Pelodiscus sinensis: one gene and its partners. The protein of the gene in region 3 interacts with the protein of the main gene of each other region in a biochemical or structural test. Links are inferred from orthologs where the notes say so. Each region holds a gene or a part of one and is shown on either strand. Other genes may lie near its edges. The genes, in order: TRIM24, POU2F1 and RXRA.

Evidence for each region.
Region 1: the proteins of RXRA (region 3) and TRIM24 form a complex in vitro, tested with the Homo sapiens proteins (3 studies listed by BioGRID). The link is inferred for Pelodiscus sinensis from reciprocal best matches to the Homo sapiens genes RXRA and TRIM24.
Region 2: the proteins of RXRA (region 3) and POU2F1 form a complex in vitro, tested with the Homo sapiens proteins (2 studies listed by BioGRID). The link is inferred for Pelodiscus sinensis from reciprocal best matches to the Homo sapiens genes RXRA and POU2F1.

The regions. Positions count from the first base shown.
Region 1 is NC_134711.1:101,186,442-101,190,187, reverse strand, and holds the start of TRIM24 (transcription intermediary factor 1-alpha), read left to right. Parts: upstream 1-1,474; 5' UTR 1,475-1,719; coding exon 1,720-2,083; intron 2,084-2,592; exon of another isoform or gene 2,593-2,607; coding exon of another isoform or gene 2,608-2,620; intron 2,621-2,738; exon of another isoform or gene 2,739-2,753; coding exon of another isoform or gene 2,754-2,772; intron 2,773-3,746. UniProt on the Homo sapiens protein: Transcriptional coactivator that interacts with numerous nuclear receptors and coactivators and modulates the transcription of target genes.
Region 2 is NC_134711.1:161,876,790-161,880,535, forward strand, and holds the start of POU2F1 (POU domain, class 2, transcription factor 1), read right to left. Parts: upstream 2,653-3,746; 5' UTR 2,596-2,652; coding exon 2,535-2,595; intron 1-2,534. UniProt on the Homo sapiens protein: Transcription factor that binds to the octamer motif (5'-ATTTGCAT-3') and activates the promoters of the genes for some small nuclear RNAs (snRNA) and of genes such as those for histone H2B and immunoglobulins.
Region 3 is NC_134732.1:18,242,093-18,245,838, forward strand, and holds the start of RXRA (retinoic acid receptor RXR-alpha), read left to right. Parts: upstream 1-826; 5' UTR 827-1,152; coding exon 1,153-1,180; intron 1,181-1,882; exon of another isoform or gene 1,883-3,746. UniProt on the Homo sapiens protein: Receptor for retinoic acid that acts as a transcription factor.

The DNA of each region.
Region 1 (3,746 bases), on a different chromosome or scaffold from region 3:
GATAATTAGGTTAGCAGCTTACTGTATTACAGTAGTTTTTTTCCTTCCACTTTGAGTTAATTGATTTATAATTAACTTCAAGTAGTTGGCACATCTGTAAAGGCTAGTCTGGAAACACCCCAAATGCTTGTTCCAGAGTATAAAATGTTTGTGGTTTGGCCTAGATTGAGCCGTAGGGTAAAAGTCATAAAGACATGAGCCATAAGACTTTTTAATTGGCATGACAAGGTCTACAAAATGCAAAGTATTGAAAGAGAGAGAATCCCTGTGGCTAGATGTTGGAGTTAGGTGGGAATCTCCTAAACTTTTGGGGGTTTGATCCCCTGTATCTATTCGGGAACAGTTCTCTGTTTGGCAGGTTCCTATACAGCACAATGCTGAAGCAAGGTGTCCACATGGCTGGATAACCTTGATGTTGAGGGCTTTGTCTTATATAGTCACCTATTATGCACCATCCTGTCCTGATTTTTCACACTTGCTCTTTGGTCACCCAAATACCCCAAACCCTGCATCTTACTTATTCTAGCCAAAGTCTAGGGAATGGGAGAGACAGAAAGTGTCCCTAGGAAAGGTGGAGGAAACAGCTGGTTGAAAACAGGAGGGGATTGGGTTACCACCTTGTCCATAATTGACCAGTATGTCTGGTTTATGTATGGATTTGTCAACTGCCAGAAAAATAATCTGCTGTTTTTTAAGGTGCATCTAAAGATGTACAATATTATCACAACACAGTGGGACATCTAATGTTAAAAAATTCTGTCCAGTTAAACATGCTGCAGTGATCCCACTTCCACAGTTTAAGCAATAACACATCAAAACAACGGAATCTTCCTGCATAAGAAGTGCATCCTGCCTGTGAGAGAGAATCTGAGTCTGGGGAGAGCGAGGAGAGGGGCGATGTTATTATTCTTATCTAGATGTGCTCTCTCTAGATACTATAAGTGACAGTTGAAGGGGCACAGTTGTCTTATGGTTGGGTTGGTCTTGTCTCGTGGGGAGGCGAGGGATGCCACGTTTTTTAGCTTTTCAGAGGTAGCAAGCCTAGAAGGAGCAAGGAGGAAGTAAGGGGCAGGATACCCCCCCCCCCCAACACACTCTTCCCTCCTCTCCCACCCAGCCAAGTATATTGACCGGAGAGGGAGGTCACTTCGGGAAGGAGTGAGGTCATGGGGAAGCCAGGCCAGGATTCAGTCACAGACCAGCCAGCAGGTCTCCAAGGGGCGGGACACCCACCAGAAGGGTGAGGGGCGGGGCTTTGGGAGGAGAGGGGGCGGGGCTTGGGACGCTTGCGGGGCTGGAAGGCGGGTGTCCGTACGCAGCTGGAGCGGTACTGGGACTGATGGGGGTGGAGTTGTACAGGGGTGGGCGGAGTCTCTTGTGTGCGGCGGGGCGGGGGGAAGGGGATGAGCCAGTGGGAGGAGCGGGGCGGAACCGACGTACAATAAGGGGGCGGGGCTACGGGGGGGAGCCCCTCTCTCGCAGGAGGGGGCGGGGCCCGGGTAGCCGTTGGCCGTGTCGCGCGGGTGCAGTCTCCCAGGATTAACAAACACGGCGGCTGGCGGAGGGGGGCAGGGTCCGATCGTTGGCGACGCGGCCCGGGGGCGGTTGGGCGCGCGCGCGCGAAGCCGGGGCTGCCGGGTGCGGAGCGGCCGGTGGAGGAGTCGTATTCCCCCCCCCCCCACCTCCTCCCGGCGGAAGGCGCCAGGCGGCGCAAGGACAATGGAGGCGACGGTGTCGGTGGCGGCGGGGGCCTGGCCGGCGGATCGGGCGGGGGCCGCGGCGCTGAGCGGGGAGAACGAGGCCGAGAGCCGGCAGGGCCCGGCGGAGCGCGGCGGGGAGGCGGCCCAGCTCAACCTGTTGGACACCTGCGGCGTGTGCGGGCAGCACATCCAGAGCCGGCGGCCCAAGCTGCTGCCCTGCCTGCACTCCTTCTGCCAGCGCTGCCTGCCGCAGCCCGACCGCTACCTCATGCTGCCCCCCGCCGCGCCCTCCCCCTGCCCCACCACCCCCAAGGAGCTGCAGCCGCCGGCGTCGCCCTCCTCGCCCGTCCCCTCGCCGACCTCACCCCTGCACTGCACACCGGGTAAGTCCCCCCTCCCTCAGCGCACGTCCCGGGCTGGCTCAGGGCGCTGCTGTGTCGCGACAGCACGGGAGAGCGTCGGGACTGAGACCCGAGAGCTCTGGCGCTGACAGGGACCGCGGCGGCCCCCTTTGGAGATGGGAAGGTGCTGGCCGGGCCCCCCCACCATTGGCGGTCCAGGGGGAGGCCCCTGGGTCTTTGGCCGCTCCCGCCGCGGCTGTGGTGTTGCTGTCGTGTGGGGATGAATTGGTCACCGTGAGCTCCTGGGTCGTGTCGCGATGCGGCGGGTAGGTGAGAGGGGAGTAATCCTGAAAGGGAGCCCGGCCCCTCTGTTGTGTGTGCTGGGCAGCCAACTTCCAGGAGCAAATGCGGGCGGGGGGAAACGGCCACTCTTCTGTCGGGGACATCACAATGGCAACTTCCTGCTGTTTGTACGGCCTGGTTGTTAGACACGAGAGGAGGGAAACACCTCTGGTATCCTCTACAATCACCTTCCGTCCTCCTCACGCTGCTGGGCTGTTCTCTGCATGGTGCTCTCTGGTACTTGGCTTTATCGATTTAGCTCTAGTTCTTGGAAAGAGCAACTGCTGTTCCTTCTGGAGCCACACACACATAATCTGTAACAAGTGGCACGTACTAAACAGAAGGCAAGAAAGCTGACCGGTGCCGTGAAATGTACTTAACGTGGATGTGTAAGTGGTATTGCTGCTTCTCACTGTTCACTTTTGCACGCTGAAGAGATTTGACTTGCTCTGTACTGCAAAGGGAGCTGAGATGAGCTTCTGGTAGGGAGAAGAGAGAAGTATGGCATCGTAAATGATCTGTCGTTTGGTGGTGAGAGAAGTTGTTTCTGTGTTCCGTGGTTAAACTATTTTAATCATTTTGAGGGTAAGCTTTTAAGCAGCCCTTCATGGGATTTTTACACCTTTTATACGTGTGAACTAGTTTGTACCATATCTAGCACACTGAGGCCTTAACTTTTATATGCTCAAGTAATACAAATAAGTGATAACATTTATAAGCTAAACATTTTCCATATGAATCTTCATAGTTAAATTATTATTTTAAACTGATGTACTGACCTAATCTCAGTTGAATAGCATGCCAAGATTAAGTTGTCTACAGCAAAATGTGCTTTTCATTGTAAAGATCTACCTGATCTCTGGTATATCTCTAGGAAATTGCTACATAGTAGCAGAAATCTAGTTCTTTATCCGTAATTTATCCAAAAAATGAGTAAGGCGGATTTAAAATGTCCTTTTTTAGGCAAAGAAATGTAGCCCTGTTAGTCTGGTGTAAGTGAAACAAAAAACAAACCCAAGTTTGGCCCACAGAAAGCTCATCACCTAATAAACCATCTTGTTAGTCTTTAAAGTGCTACATAGTCCTCTTTTTTTAGGCACAAATTCATCCTGAAGAAAAGCTCAAACAAGTATCTTGGGATGGAAATAAGAGAGAGTAACAAAATTAGCTGCTCTGTAACACTGCTCTACAGCCAAAATGCTTCTGAAATAAATGTAGTCAAACTTTACTAATTCTGGGTCACTGAGAACGAAAATGGTGCTTAAAATTGTTGATTGGCTCTAGTTTTCAAGATATGCTATTGGGTCAGTATATATGACCCTTGACTTGCGAATGGCGGAGGATAAGTGAATTATAAAGGGAA
Region 2 (3,746 bases), on a different chromosome or scaffold from region 3:
ATGTACATTTTTACCATCTTGGATAAAATATCTACAGTCTCAGCAGTGGTTAAATTGCTTCTATAAAGGAAACTGTCCTCAGATAAATGGTTTCTCTATAAGAAGATTTCACTGGCACACCTCATCCCAGGTCAATAAATCAAATTAACTGCACCTTGTCCTCTGGCCGGTGACATCATCAGCTTGACCACATCTTGTGAAGCGAGTGCAAAAACATATGCTATTTAAGGCATGAAATCATATTATTGCTTTTTGTCCAGCCAACCCCATGCTGCTGGTCTATGAAGCAGTCAGTCACCTGAACAGTTTCATTATAGGTTCTACAGATCTTTTCTTGCAGTATTCAAGACCTGTCTTTACCAAGGCAGAGGGGGAGAAAGTAAGCAGTGAGAGTGGTCATTTTAAAATTAAAAATGTTTTTCTATTAACTGAAGACCAGTATTCTCTAACAAATTAACCTTCGAGCAAACTCTATAAAATATGCTGATTGCACTATTACATGAACTCTTCTTAATCATGCTTCAAAGATGTTTGCATACTCATCTGATAGGGCTACTATAAGATACCCTTCTGTTCAATTCTTTTCCTCCACAGCTGAAAACAATGGCCACTAACGAAAAACCACAGTTTTATCAACATTAATACCACATGAAAATAAAATGACTCCATTATCTCCCTTGAAAAAGGAGTCCATTTTGCTTGTCATTAAGTTGCCTGGAGGCTGGCTAAAACATAGGTAGCCCTGACAATTTAAGGAGAAAAATATTTTTCAATTTTCATTCAGTCAACTATGTATGGCATACAAACACAGAAAACTTATATTGTTTTGTTTTTTCTCATACTGTCAAATTAAAAATAACTCAGAAGGCCAGGGATACTGACAAAAGTATCAAACACACAGGACTGCTATACAAAATGCAGGTCATAAACACTAAGGAGAAAGAGGTTTATTGTATTTAATGTGATATGATCCAAAATTCAAGGTTTGCTTCTACATATTAAATCTAGTTTGTATATGGGAGTAGGAGGGAGGCTTTTTAGCTTTTGAAAGTGTTCTCAGAGACCCAATAAATGTACATTAAAAGCAAATCTTTTTTTAAGTAAACTGGGGACAAAGGAATGAAAATGCTCAATACTCACTGAAAAACAGTTATGAAAGGGACAGCTTTAAATACTTGTGTTGCTATAAATTAAAAATAAGCCCCTTATTTAAAAGACATGAGTGTGTGAAGCTAGAAGCAGTTCTGATGCTGCTCAAGCCCCAGGAGGGTTTTGTTTTTGCTGGCGGGGGTGGGGTGGGGGGGTCATTTTGGTTATTAGTAAATAAATCAAGCGGCAGAGAATGAGGCCTAGGCGTCTGCCAGAGGAGCCAGGGCCTACCTCTTCCTCCTCTCACCCCCTCCCCACACGGCCTGGGTTTGATCTCTGGGCCCTGTGGGTTGCCAAGAAAATTTAAAAAAAGCGAGAGAGCAAGAAAGAAGAATCATATTGAACCACAAAAGCACATGGGGCGAATGTAAAATATAAACACGGCTTTGGGCTCTGAGTGGCTGTTATTAAAGGTCTGAATTACTAAACATGAGAGGCGGGGAAACCCAGGCGGCCATTTCAATAATATAAACCTCCCCGAATTAGACATTATTCAAATGAGACCAAGACACAGAGAAGGAGAAGGAGGCCGGCTCCGCACCCCTGGCAGCCAACTTGCTACCCCAGCCGCCAATGCTGCCACCCCATGCACCCATCAGAAGCCCCGCAGGGCCTGGCTGTTAGCCTCCCCCAGGGACCTATCCCAGGATACCCCCCACTGCTCTACTCGGCCTCGCTGACTCCTAAGGAAGCGAGAAGGGAGGGGGAGATGTCAGGGCAGCCCAGCCCCCTGGGTACAGAGACCCCACGCAGCCCCTCGCCCCCAGGCAGACCCCCCTCCCCCGCAAGGAGTCGAGCGGAGTTGAGGCACCTTTTCTGTAGGGACAGAGGAGAAGACTTTCGCCAAGCCGCCCCCCCGGGCCCTCTGCACCCAGCCCCCCGTGGCAGGCAGGCCTCGGGCTGTGGGGAAATAACGCTACCAAGGCTGGGGTGGGGGGGACCAAAAAAGAGCCAATATCTCGCCTCCAAACCCCGCGCCCCACACCCGCGCCCCGGCGCAAGAGCATGGGGGGCCCGGCCCCACTGGGGCGGGGGGTCGCGGGGTGCTCGCCCCCCAGCTCCGGGCCCTGCCCCCCAGCTCCCTGCCCGATCTGGGCCCGCTCCGCCATGAATATGGAAAGCGGCTTTATTGTGGGCGTGCGGGCGCTGCCAGGGCGGCCCGGCGGCCTCCGGCCGGGTTCGGGGGCGGGGAGGCGCCCCCTTGCCCCCCGCGCCCGTGCGTGTGTCTCCCGCACGGGGAGGCTGCCGCTGCCCCCGCTCCCCCCTGTGCCGTTAATTATAATAATCCGGAGTACTAATAAATTATGCTAAGCGGGGCGGGCGGGCGGCGGGGGGGCCGCGCGCGCGAGTATGAATATGAATATGTAAAACGCAGTAATGATTACCTGCCGCCGCCACCGCCGCCGCCGAACTCTCATCTTGACTCGCTGCTCCTCCGTCCGCCATTTTGAATATTTTAACCAAAATCGGCCGCCCGATAAACCCTCCCTCGCTCGCTCGCTCGCAGCCCCCACCCGTCCCACTCGCGCAGCCGCCGTCTCCCTTCTCCTTGGCCCCCCGCCCTCACTCCAGCACGCGAGTCACGACGCATGCGCGCTCTGCCCTCTCTCGCGGGCGAGCGCTTCGCGCTTGCGCTATCCGCTTTTTTCTTGCTGGCCCATTACTCTGCGTGTACCCCCAGCCAGCCCCTGTGCGCATGCGCCGTTTTCTCCTGCCATTTACCTCTGCCCTAGTCTTCGTTAGCATGTAAACGACCTCGACGCGCGGGCCACTTTGTGGCCCACCTCCCTCCCGGCTACAGAGCGCGCGCTTGCGCAGTGCGGGGGATGGTTGTCTGGGGGCTTTAGTTGCTTGTGTGCTTGGCCGGGGGGGCTCGTTCCAGCGGAGGTGCATTGTGCCACGGACACGCTGGTGGCGCGCTGCTGTGAGAGGACGGAGGCGTCTGTTTGCCGGGTGGGGCGAGGGCATTAAAACCGACCATGCCAGCTCCCAGCTCCAGCGGGCCTGAGGGGCGGCAATCGCCTCACGAGCATGTCCCGAGACACAAGGGCTAGGGAAGCAAAATGCAGGACAATGTAGCACTTTAAAGACTAACAAGATGGTTTATTAGATGATGAGCTTTCGTGGGCCAGACCCACTTCCTCAGATCAAATAGGCATGCTGGTCCCTGTCACCTAAGGCATGAGCTTGCTGAGCCCATGGAGTGGGCACCTGCCTCTGGTTTTCTCACTCTGTTTTGTTACTTTTTTTTTTTTTTGCAGTATATCTATAACACTGACAATCAAAGGAGACCCTTGTACTCATGCCGAGCTTGCCTCCAGATAAGGGCCCAGGTGGTTAAAAACACCATGAACACTAGGCACATTGAAAGAAGAAATGCTTGCAGCACGTTCTGAGATGGTTTTTATTAACTATTTCCTGCCAGCAAGCTACTGGGAGTTAGTATAAATAGGTAATCACAGGAAGTAAAATAGATAATCCTAAATGAAAACATCTTGAAATAGAATGGTTACACCGAAGAAGCATTTTTTTTTTAAAGCACAATCTGCAAGTGGTGTTCTGTGGAAAGAACCATCATGTGCAAGACAGGTACTCCC
Region 3 (3,746 bases):
GATTGTGATGTCATATCAAGTGTGTCCGGTATTTTTGTTGAAACCATCTGGCAACCCTACTCGCGGCTCTTTCCAGAGCGACACAAGTTCCTTCGTGCCTCCTTAAATTTGCATTTGGTGACTCGTGTCAGTTACCTAGACGGGGGTTTTGTAACATGTGTCTGTGGTAAATTGATGGATCATTCCAACACGTGATAGGCAGGCCAGCAGATCTAGCCTATTTATCCACCCACCAATTTTCCCTCTAAGGCAGAGAGACTTTCGCAGCCAGGAATAGGAACATTCCAGCCTCCCAGGACATTAATTCCTGAGGCAGCTTTGGAAAATCTCAGCCTAACGGGCCCCATCTTCCCTCTTCTACTCTCAGAAGTAATTCCTTTCTTTTTCCTGGCTCTGCTCAGCCGCCTTCCCTGTAAGTCCCCCACTTACAAAAGTTTTACGACTTGGACCAGTCCTTCTACCACCCATGAAAGCCCCCCCAAAGTACTGAATGGCATCACTTCAGCAAGAGCCCTGACGGGGTACCACTCCCACCTGCATCCTCAATTACCTTTACCTGTGAAGCTCTGAGATGGGCCTTTTCCCCTGCATGTGCTCTTAACCTGTATCGTCCCATGGCGCCCTGCAGCGTGATTTGCATGCAATTTCCCTATGCTCGTTCGGATCCTAAGCCAGCTTCTGAAAGCAGCCCCCTCTTCAAAGCCACCCGCCTCCCCCTCCCGGCCGCCCTCGAGAAAACTAGTTGGTGCAGGCTCCCAGCTGGCCGTGCCGTCGCTGCGACCAGGTTGGCCCTCCCGCTCCCCCTTGGCTGGGTCCCCTTTGCATTGCAGCTCCTGTAGTTGGAATAGAGAGACACAGAGACACAAGTACTTTAGTTACATTGTTGGGTGAGTTTGAAACAACTCCCCCTGCCTCGGGCTTACACACACTGTGACTGGATTTCCTATTCCACCCGCTCCGGTGCTGCGTGCCTTCTGCTGCTGCTTATTTTTAAATCAATGCAAAGCTGCGGGCTTTGATTTTTTTTCCCTCCCCCCTCTTTTTTTTTTACACCCCCCTCCCTTCTCTCGTTTGCTTTGATTTCTGCGCGCGCGTGTGTTTTGCCTCCACCGATCTTCAACAAATCGTTTGGGCATGAGTTAAACACCCGATATGGACACCAAACATTTCCTGCCACTGGGTGAGTTTTGTTGCAAAGGGTTCTCCGCGCAGACGGCGCTAGATATTCGGATTGAAATGCTATGGCTTGCTGGGGGAGGGCGGGGGCAGAGGGCAAGCGTGCAAAGGACAGACGATCGGCCGGGAGAAGTGGAGCAGGGCGGGGGTGTGGAGGGGGGGGGCATGAAAAAGTGGCTTTATTGCAACGCGGATGGTTTGATCCGGGACACCCCCTATGCCCCCTTTTCCACGAACCATTGCAGGAAGTCAGGCTGGCTGGAGAAAGCTTGTTTCGTGCATGGACTGGGAGGCATTGCTGGGGGGGGACGCTGCAGCGCGGGGACTTGTTTGTCAGTTTCGCCGCCTGCCCTAGACAGCGCCGATCCCTTGTGGATTTGGCCTGTTCCCTCTTGGCGAGTCCCAATTTTGGTAGATGCGCGTCTGGATTATTATTTTTTTTTGTTTGTTTTCTCCCTTCCCCTGCAACGTGTCGAGCGAGCGTCATTGTGTTTTGCAGATGGAGACCACAGATCAAACTACTGTTGAGGAAGGAGGGAAGGGGGGGGGGTTGATTTTTTTGAAAGTGCTGCGAGCTTTGGGCTGGAAATACGTGCGCGCTGCTTCGTGGCCGGAGGGTTGGGGAGAGGGCCCGGGATGGGCCGCGGCGTGGGGGGGGGGGGGGGGTCGCGGGGAGGAAAAGAAGGGAGCTCGGACACGCTGGAGACATTTTTTTTGCGCGGGGCGGGGGTTGGGGGGCGCAAAATGCGCGCGCGCGCAAGAGCGAGCGAGATCCGCTAAGGGACTTGGCACGGCGGCGAGCGCTATTTTCAAACGTGGGACTCGCAGCCAGGCACTCAAAAAAGAATTAAAAGTTTGCTCTTCGAGTGGCCCCGATCGTCAGGCACAGAACCCCCGTCCCTGGTCCACTGACCTAGACAAAAGCAATTCTGGAATGGAAACGGGGTGTTAAGTGAGATTTTGAAGGGTGCGCCCACTCCGGACAGGTCTTGGTTTGTTTTGCACAACCGGCTTTGGCTGTGCCTTGCATTGCTCTGAATGCTCTGTTTTATTCCTGGAGCAGTGGCTGACATGTGGCAAAACCCCTTTGCTTTGTATTTATGTACTTGTTTGTTTGTTTCCTTCTCCTCTCCCCCCCTTCTCCAGCCCTTGCCTTCCTCTGTAGGCATTTGCCGTGTGCAGTCTGGCAGAGATAAATGTAATTGCTGGGGTTAAAGGTGCCTGCCTGTAATACATTGACCGCCAAGTGTTGATCCAAAAGATGTATTTCAGGGGCATCTTTCTTCTTTTTCCAGAAAGAGGTGTCACCCCAGACAGGTTCTGTGTTGGCTCTTTGGGTTTGTTTTATTGTGTTTTCAATTCCCCCCCCCCCTCCCAGCGTGACTTTGCCAACCTTTCAGTAAGGGAATCAAGTCTTGGCTTGAAAGGGGAAAAGCTTCCTTGTCTCTTGATTTCCAAAAAGTGCCGTTGTTTTGCGCTTACCCTACAGGCCAGCGTTTAAAATCCAACAAATCTGGGAGAATAACTGTGAGCAACAAGGGGCAGGAAAATTCGCAGCTCAGATAAAGGGCCCAATCCTGCTGTCACTGAGATCCCAGGCAAGATCAGTCGCTAAATTCCATCTCCCCTTTTTACCCCGGTATATTGGTGGGGGGCTAAGGCTGGCCAGACATGCGACATGAGTTACAGACTTGTAGCCCGTGGCAGGACAGGAAGAGCAGCCTGCTAGTGCTAGCCTGAACTCTGACGTCCCTTGGTTTTGCTTGGTTCCTTCATATCAGTGCACTAAACCCCTTTTAAAAGAGTGGTGGTTTTCATTCATGCAGAGTCCATTTTTTTAATGGCCGAATAAACAACAGCAACAAAAAAAATGCACCTTCCCAAATGGACACCAAAGAGTTTCTGTGACTTCAGCAGCGGTGCCTGTGCTCAGTCCTGGGTCCCTTGGACATGAGACGGTCCTAAAAACCATTGTGGTTTTATTGCCACATGCAATTGATTTTGATGGGAGATGAAAAGGCCCCCAAAGTGCTCAAGTGGTTTTTCCAAGTGGAAATCTCTCCTCTGCCGCTTGACACTCACAACATCTTTTTTTTTTTCAGTCTAACGGATTTATTTTTTATTGCCGTTATTTCGGGTGGCTCAAACAAAAACATCGGAAGCCGTTAAAAATCATGTTCTGCCGACTGCTGCGTCGCTGTATCTCTGCCTTCCCCACCAAATGCCTTAATTTTATTTGCAGCTTTGTACTTTATTCACGCTTTACACTGGGAACAACGTAGGCACTGAAGACAAAGGCAAAACCTCCCCTGACTTCCTAAATCTTATACTTGGGGGTTCGACAGTACCTGAGGTATTTTGATGGCTGGGCACTATATACATTTAACCAAATGTAGCATTAACAGACATTTGATCTTGGGGAGACGAAATGTGCATATCCAGGCTGATAAAGGATTTTTTCCTGGGTGCAAATGAAGAAAAAAAAAAGCTGATTTAAAACTCATTTATAAACGATGGGAGCAGGGCCTGGTTTGCTTCTGTGGAAATTTGCAACACACATTTCAGCCCAT